Linked DNA regions of Saccharomyces cerevisiae S288C. The gene in region 1 interacts genetically with each later gene. Each region holds a gene or a part of one and is shown in the gene's direction. Other genes may lie near its edges.

What was found. A genetic interaction does not mean that the proteins touch.
Region 2: mutations in YMR317W (region 1) and ERP5 together harm fitness more than expected from each alone (negative genetic interaction), as found in Saccharomyces cerevisiae (2 studies listed by BioGRID).

The regions. Positions count from the first base shown.
Region 1 is NC_001145.3:905,407-911,286, forward strand, and holds YMR317W (uncharacterized protein), read left to right. Parts: upstream 1-1,957; coding exon 1,958-5,380; downstream 5,381-5,880. Other genes in the region: DIA1 (Dia1p), read left to right, coding at 1-429; YMR316C-A (uncharacterized protein), read right to left, coding at 256-567; ADH6 (NADP-dependent alcohol dehydrogenase), read right to left, coding at 5,655-5,880.
Region 2 is NC_001140.6:330,161-333,420, forward strand, and holds ERP5 (Erp5p), read left to right. Parts: upstream 1-2,121; coding exon 2,122-2,760; downstream 2,761-3,260. Other genes in the region: CTM1 (cytochrome c lysine N-methyltransferase), read left to right, coding at 150-1,907; UBA4 (Uba4p), read left to right, coding at 2,912-3,260. UniProt on the Saccharomyces cerevisiae protein: Involved in vesicular protein trafficking.

The DNA.
Region 1 (5,880 bases):
AGGTGGCATGTCACTTATTCGCCCGTAGTTACCAACGATCATTATAAATTAATTCTGTTAGCAGATTATGAAGTGAATCGTTTGGATGAAGATGTCATTAGAGCCGCTAAAAATAAGATGTCCATCGACCAAAAGGATCAAAAAGTTCAGAGGTTCGTGGCAGCTCATTATACTAGAGAATTTGAAACATCTCTTTTTAGGTGGGTCGCTCAAGAGGGCCACTTAATTCTTGGCGAGTATTCCACAGATCAAGGATCATTTGGATTGAATAATATCCCACCATTGACGGAAGAACTCGGGTGTCAGAGCCTGCTCATACATTACATAGAGTACATGAAGAGACAACGTAAAAAAATTGCGAAAGAGGCAAGGAGACAAAATAAAAGAAACGTTGCAAACACGACTAACATGAACATGAACCTCATGTAACAAAAGTTTGCGTATAATAAACCAGTATAGATGTGTAACTGTAATTTTTAACTTATCACAAGCTCGTTCCCTTCCTGCGTTGAAAAAGCGGGACAATGCCAGAATATAAAAAAAAGAAGAAACTTTAAACCCTGTCATATCTTGTCCGAGATCTCGTCGTTCTTGTTTAATTGATCTTCTTCGTATACTGCCAAAGGTGCCAAGGCACAAAAAAGTTTAAAGTGGCACGGGCTATTGCGTCACATAAAGCCCGTAGCGCAAAAAAGTGATAGCTGACTTCATTAGATCACCAAAATGGAAAAAACTTCGTGAAGATTTCTTTTTATCTTCCTCACAGTTTTTAACTTCCGGGTGTTATACTCTCCGTTTGAAAAGTTGATTTTGTTAACTTTCCTCTTTCCTTTTGGAGTAAAAACAATATCCTCGATAGGCAAGACCTTCCTGCACCGCTATGGCGGCCATTTTGATTTTTCTTTACTGTGGGAAGCAAGAACTTGTTCAGGCGCCTTCCTGGATAAGCCATCTTTTTTCAAACAGTTTCTTCTATACGATAGGAAAGTCGTTGGCCAATCGATTAATTAATTGAACAATAGGAGCCAAATAAGCAGGATATCTTCTTTCGTATACCGCCTGCCTCATTATTCAGAACAAACACGAGTGATCTGACACTATGAAGTTAGCAGTAATCCTTTCTAAGAGAGGTGGCCCAAAATTCGAATAAAATTAACTTTCCTTACCATTTAGCCTCTATCAAAAAGGTTCTAAAAAGTAATATCACACAGCCGAGCCTAGGACGTCACCTCTTTCCTACACAGTTGACATTACTTATGTACTCAAAAGGACGTATGTACCAAGGAAAGCATAGTTTTTATTCAAATCGAGTTTTTTATTCTTATATCCTGCTTAAAAGTGGTGATTAATGAGGAAAAAATGACAGCAAGAATGAAATAGTATGTAATTTCTTTAGATTTAGCGGTGCCCGTGCCTTCCACGCGCAACTGTTCTCTCTAATTTACTATTCGCTTTGAACGTAAAATGTGCTTTAGTTTCCCAGATGTAGCTCAAGTATTATACCATCTTTTGCACCTACTTTACTAAATTCATCTCAGGTATAATTGTATCGCATATTCTATTTTTTTTGACATTTAATGCAAAATTGTGTACCTTTCGTTAAGGCGAATTTTCTGGACCATGCGCAGATCTGATCCAAAATAAACTTTTTTTCATGAAGCTCGTTTGCGATCATTGCCTGTGAATTTAGCGAAGGTGTCAGTCCACGGCGACTTAGAACTCACGTAAAAATAAGCATCTTGCTAAGACTGTTCAGCAGTCAACAGTAAAGTTCTGAAAACATGTTTTCTTAGTCTCTATCTTTGCCCATGTTCCTCTCAAGTGGAACAAAGCTAAAAATGAAATATTAATTTTATATAAAGTCTCACTCACACCTGTGGTAATTTTGTTCCCTCAGATTTGTCAATGATTCTGTCATAGAAAAGGTATCCACAAGAAAGGGTAGCGCCGTATCAAAATGGGTTCATCTGGTTCAAAATCGACCACAGCCACTACCACATCGCATAGTAGCACGACTACTACTAGTAGCACAACCAGTACAACTACGCCTACTACCACTAGCACGACAAGCACGACAAGCACTAAAGTTACAACTAGCCCAGAAATTATTGTCAGTAGTTCTAGCACATTAGTTTCTTCTGTTGTACCCGAGTTTACTTCTAGCTCGTCGCTCTCCTCTGATACAATTGCCTCAATTCTATCATCGGAGTCATTGGTTTCCATTTTTTCTTCTCTTTCTTACACATCATCCGATATTTCTAGTACATCAGTCAACGATGTCGAATCATCAACCTCTGGCCCCTCAAACTCATACAGTGCGCTTTCCTCCACAAATGCACAACTGTCCAGCTCCACTACAGAGACTGACTCCATAAGTAGTAGTGCTATTCAAACATCTTCCCCGCAAACCAGTTCATCAAATGGAGGTGGTTCCTCTTCGGAGCCATTGGGAAAGTCCTCTGTCCTTGAAACTACTGCTTCATCTTCTGATACAACTGCAGTCACATCCTCCACATTTACCACGCTTACTGACGTTTCATCTTCTCCAAAGATAAGTTCCTCAGGATCGGCTGTCACTTCAGTTGGTACTACTTCCGATGCCTCAAAGGAAGTTTTTAGTTCAAGCACGTCCGATGTTTCTTCCCTACTATCAAGTACTTCCAGCCCCGCAAGCTCTACTATTTCTGAAACCCTACCATTTTCCTCTACAATTTTATCCATCACTTCCAGCCCAGTAAGTTCAGAAGCTCCATCGGCAACGTCTAGCGTAATTAGTTCAGAAGCTTCATGGGCAACGTCTAGCTCAGTGAGCTCGGAAGCTCCATTGGCAACGTCTAGCGTAGTGAGTTCAGAAGCTCCATCGTCAACGTCTAGCGTAGTGAGTTCAGAAGCTCCATCGTCAACATCTAGCTCAGTGAGTTCCGAAATTTCGTCAACAACATCTAGCTCAGTAAGTTCAGAAGCTCCATTGGCAACGTCTAGCGTAGTGAGTTCAGAAGCTCCATCGTCAACATCTAGCTCAGTGAGTTCCGAAATTTCGTCAACAACATCTAGCTCAGTAAGTTCGGAAGCTCCATTGGCAACGTCTAGCGTAGTGAGTTCAGAAGCTCCATCGTCAACATCTAGCTCAGTGAGTTCAGAAGCTCCATCGTCAACATCTAGCTCAGTGAGTTCAGAAGCTCCATCGTCAACGTCTAGCTCAGTGAGTTCGGAAATTTCGTCAACAAAATCTAGCGTAATGAGTTCAGAAGTTTCATCGGCAACGTCTAGCCTAGTGAGTTCGGAAGCTCCATCGGCAATTTCCAGCTTAGCAAGTTCTAGACTGTTTAGCTCTAAAAATACATCAGTTACTTCTACTTTGGTTGCTACAGAAGCTTCGTCAGTAACTTCTAGCCTAAGACCTTCTAGTGAGACATTAGCAAGCAATTCAATCATTGAAAGCTCTTTGTCGACGGGTTACAATTCGACCGTTTCTACCACAACATCCGCCGCATCTAGTACACTTGGATCTAAGGTTTCGTCAAGTAATTCCAGAATGGCCACTTCCAAAACCTCATCTACTTCCTCCGACTTGAGTAAGTCTAGTGTAATATTCGGCAATAGTTCTACCGTTACAACCTCTCCATCAGCGTCTATCAGTTTAACCGCATCTCCACTTCCATCGGTCTGGTCTGATATCACCTCTTCGGAAGCTTCATCAATTTCCTCTAACCTGGCTAGCTCCAGTGCGCCATCTGACAATAATTCCACCATTGCAAGTGCCTCGCTGATTGTCACCAAAACAAAAAACTCAGTCGTTTCATCAATTGTCTCTAGTATAACTTCTTCTGAAACTACAAACGAATCCAATTTGGCCACATCTAGTACATCGCTTTTGAGTAATAAAGCTACTGCCCGTTCTTTATCAACATCCAACGCTACAAGTGCTTCTAACGTTCCAACAGGCACATTTAGCTCCATGAGCTCTCATACTTCGGTGATAACTCCCGGCTTTTCCACCAGTAGTGCGTCACTCGCAATTAATTCAACTGTCGTTAGCTCATCATTGGCAGGTTATAGTTTCTCGACACCTGAAAGCTCTCCAACTACTTCCACTTTGGTTACTTCAGAGGCTCCTTCAACCGTTTCCAGTATGACCACAAGTGCCCCATTTATAAATAATTCTACCTCTGCTAGACCTTCGCCAAGTACAGCTAGTTTCATTACTGAATCCACTTCAAGCATTTCCAGCGTGCCATTAGCGAGTGGCGACGTCACTTCCTCATTAGCGGCCCACAATTTAACTACTTTCAGTGCTCCTTCAACATCCAGTGCACAACTTGTAAGCAAATCAACTACCTCTAGCTCCATCCTGGTCACACCCAGAATCGACAGGTCTGGAAATTCCTCAACTGCCTCTAGAATTGCAACATCACTCCCTAACAAAACTACATTTGTTTCTTCCCTAAGTTCAACATCCGCTCATGCCAGAAATATCTTTAATTCAACTGTTCTAGCTACTGCTAAACAAATTGAAACTTTAACTTCAACAGTCAATTGCAGCAACCCTACTCCTAATTACAACATAACCAAAACAGTAATCGTAAGTAGGGAGACTACTGCCATAGGAACTGTTACAAGTTGTTCGGGTGGTTGCACCAAGAATAGAAAGTCAACCACACTTATTACTATAACAGATATTGATGCTTCTACTGTTACTACTTGCCCAGAAAAAGAAGTAACATCGACCACAAGTGGAGATGAGGCAGAACATACCACTAGCACTAAAATAAGTAATTTCGAAACGTCCACGTTTTCGGAAAGTTTTAAGGATATGAAGACTTCTCAGGAAACTAAAAAAGCTAAACCAGGATCAGAAACGGTGAGGAGCTCGTCATCTTTTGTCGAAAAAACCTCACCAACAACAAAGGCTTCTCCATCAACTTCCCCATCAGAAAGTAAAGCTGCAGGAAATACATCCGTTGCAACGAATGCTTCACCATCAACTTCCCCATCAGAAAGTCAAGGTACAGGAAGCACATCTGTAGAGGGAGCAAAAAGCAAGTCAACTAAAAATTCAGAAGGAGTATCAACCACTAAAGCGAAAAACACATCAACTGTTGCGAAATCTTCAACTGAAAGTCCGATCGGGAGGGGTGAAACTACCCTTGAAACGATAATTGTCTCGAGCCAAAAGTCGCTATTAACATCACAACTAAGTTCATCCACTGAAAAGGTAAACAGATCTACCACCAAACCTACGGCAGCGATTCATGGAACATCCTCATCCGCTAAACAAAGCACAACATATACTGTCAGCACGGCAAAAGAAAATACCGGTGCATCCCTGAACATTAACATGAAAGCTTTTGTTATTGGCGCTATTGCTTTGGTAGCTTAGTAATATAGTTATTGTCCGATACCCTATGAACGTGCACCTTTTTTGTTAGTGTATTGATATGTGTTTCTTTTCACCTTAAAGGTGCTTAGCAAGGAGAAAAAGAGAAAAAACAAAAGAGAACTGTACGAGTTGTAAATATTTAAATAGTACCTTATAATCATAAAAAAAAGTTTCAAATGTAACCTATATCGATTAAAACAGCACTCCTATATACAGACCCAAAACATGGAGCAGTTAAAAAGAAAGGAGCTACATTTATCAAGAGCTTGACAACCTAGTCTGAAAATTCTTTGTCGTAGCCGACTAAGGTAAATCTATATCTAACGTCACCCTTTTCCATCCTTTCGAAGGCTTCATGGACGCCGGCTTCACCAACAGGTAATGTTTCCACCCAAATTTTGATATCTTTTTCAGAGACTAATTTCAAGAGTTGGTTCAATTCTTTGATGGAACCTAAAGCACTGTAAGAAATGGAGACAGCCTTTAAGCCATATGGCTTT
Region 2 (3,260 bases), on another chromosome or scaffold:
CATATTTCACTTACTAATATATGTTGCGTTTTCATGCATCAAAAGTAGTTAGCAATGCTAGATCGTGTAAAGGAAAAAAAAGAGAAATAGTATAATTCGCCATCCTCATAACCACTGAAAAATCGAAGTTAACCAAAAGGAAAGTTGAAATGGAGGAAGTGTTCCGTTTTTACTCGAACTCTAGAAATATCTTCATTCATAAAAGCCTTTCATTAAAACCATCCACCATTGATGACCCCAAAAGTGGATATGGCCTTTTCGTAGAACCTTCGAAGTTCAAGAATGATGAATTGAAAAGTGAAACTATCCAATTGCTCCGAATCCCTAAGCGCTGCACGTTTAATATAAACACACTTCTGGCTCTCTTGGGAGATGAGGACGAATTTTCTTCAAAGGAAGAATTTCAAAGAACTAATGACAAAATTAAGATTGCTCTTCGTGAAATAATGGCTCATCCGAATTTCAGTGTGTTCCTGACAGAAACAAATTTACTCATAATTTATTTCATGATATTTCAAACTATTCGTAGTCGTTATGAGATTCCCGAAAATATCCAATATTATTTAGAAAATGTTTTAATGAGCATTGAAGTAGAAACAGCCATGGATTCTATTGAAAACTTAGCTACTGATTATGGACATTATCCACAGATTTTTGGCCTTCGAGAGACGCTAAATTTATTTAAAGAACTGTTTCACGACGTCTTGAATTTAAGTGATATCAAACATCTTTATTCTGCAATAATTTCACGTTGTTTAGAGATACCAGAAAGGGCCGATACCAAAAGTGAAGAATTCACGGTCCATTCTACTTTAGTCCCTATTGTAGATTTTGCCAACCATGAAGGCACCCAAAAAAATGCTTATTTTGACATCGACCCTTCAAATAATGACGTTTTACTTCTATTGGATACAAAAGCGGTCCAAAGTGAACTCACAAAACCTATTGAAGTTTTCATTAGTTACTCACCAACAGAGGATTTATTTTCCATGCTTGTAACATATGGATTCACCCCAGATTTTAGAGGGAATTCCCAATTTTGGACTGTATCCTTTGACAGGTGCTTTTTAAGAAACTATGATGGACCAGATAAAACTACAAATTTAAGATTGTTTTACAAATGGATGCACATAAATCCAGTGGTACCACTAGTTAAATACGAGCACAACGGAAAGACTCGCTGGTTTCTCAATGACACCACGCCTGAATTTGATATGCTTTTGCTCCCATTCATTCCATCGATAGATGATGGCAAAATTGCTCGGTGGGCGTACGATTCCACATGTCATTTGATGTTCACGAAAATCCATTGTCTGATAAATCCCGAGGCCAACGAACATGCGTTAATGATTGCAGAAAACTACCGCTCTCTCATTAAAGAGAAAGAGTCAAATGGTGACGATTTCATAAATTTACCGCCACTAGCTTGGTCATTGCGTTACAAAGATACAGAAAACGATTGTGTACGGCAAAGACATATATGCAGTGAAGATGCGGTCGCTGTACTTAAACAAGAAGAAATGCAAGACTCAACCAAAACCAAATCCCAGTTTACCAGTTTCTTTCGTAAATTTTTAGAGTTTCGTAGATCCAAAATTATTAGGCCTACCAGTGATTCAAAAGTTGCAAGCATATTATACCAGCAGGAACTGGAAATAATTGCTGACTTAGCAAAAGCTATCGATAGCAGCTCTACCATTTTTTTCAGCGATCTGAATGTTACATTGGACACCGAACCAGAACGGCTCCCCCCTCTAAGGTTTTTAGATGATTACATAGAGATCTCTGCGGATAAGCAGGAGCCAAGCCCAATTTGTGAGGATCTTTCTTATTATACACCCAGCAGGTTTACTGATTTTTTTCAAGAAGAGGTAAGCCAATATGCGGCTTTCTTTCAGGATGACTAGATGAGTACCACTTACGATCTTGTATATAAATGTTTTTAGTTGTCCTTTCTTCTACATTAAAAGCATCACAAAGAACAATCTGACGCGTTTTTCCACTGTCTCTTTCTCGCGTTTTATTCTTTTCCGTTTGAGACAAAAAAAGAGGAGCTTTGTAGTGTAATACTACTAGTTACTTAAGGGAACACATCAAGCATTCGGTGTCTCACAGGCTACTATGAAATATAATATAGTGCATGGAATTTGCCTATTATTTGCTATTACCCAAGCTGTAGGGGCTGTCCATTTTTATGCGAAGTCCGGGGAAACCAAATGCTTCTATGAACACTTATCCCGGGGAAACCTACTGATTGGGGATTTAGACCTATATGTAGAAAAGGATGGTCTGTTTGAAGAGGACCCTGAATCCAGTCTGACAATAACTGTCGATGAAACATTCGATAACGACCATCGTGTCCTAAATCAAAAAAACTCACACACAGGTGATGTTACTTTTACAGCTTTAGACACAGGTGAACATAGATTTTGCTTCACTCCATTCTACAGCAAGAAATCAGCCACACTAAGAGTATTCATCGAACTAGAAATTGGCAATGTTGAAGCGCTTGACAGCAAGAAAAAAGAAGATATGAATTCACTTAAGGGGAGGGTAGGCCAGTTGACTCAAAGGCTATCTTCTATTCGTAAGGAGCAAGACGCTATCAGAGAAAAAGAGGCAGAATTCAGAAATCAAAGTGAATCAGCTAACAGCAAGATAATGACGTGGTCTGTGTTCCAACTTCTCATATTGCTGGGCACCTGTGCCTTCCAGCTACGCTATCTCAAGAATTTCTTTGTCAAACAGAAGGTAGTATAATATACCATGTTTGTTATATAGAGTTTATATATCGCTCATTACGAATCGGTGCAATGAGCTCTTCGATATGAAATATTCCTTAGCTTAGTAATAAGAGTGACTTAAGCTGATGCCGTTGACTGCAAAAGGAAGTAAATAGAAGTCAATAACAATGAATGACTACCATCTCGAGGATACCACGTCTGAACTTGAAGCATTAAGATTGGAGAATGCACAATTAAGAGAGCAGCTTGCCAAGAGAGAAGACAGCAGCCGCGACTACCCATTATCTTTGGAAGAATACCAACGTTACGGAAGACAAATGATTGTTGAAGAAACAGGTGGTGTAGCAGGTCAAGTCAAGTTGAAAAATACAAAAGTTTTGGTAGTTGGTGCTGGAGGTTTGGGATGTCCCGCCTTGCCCTACTTAGCGGGCGCTGGCGTGGGCCAAATAGGCATAGTAGATAACGATGTGGTGGAGACTTCCAATTTGCATAGGCAGGTTCTTCATGATTCTAGCA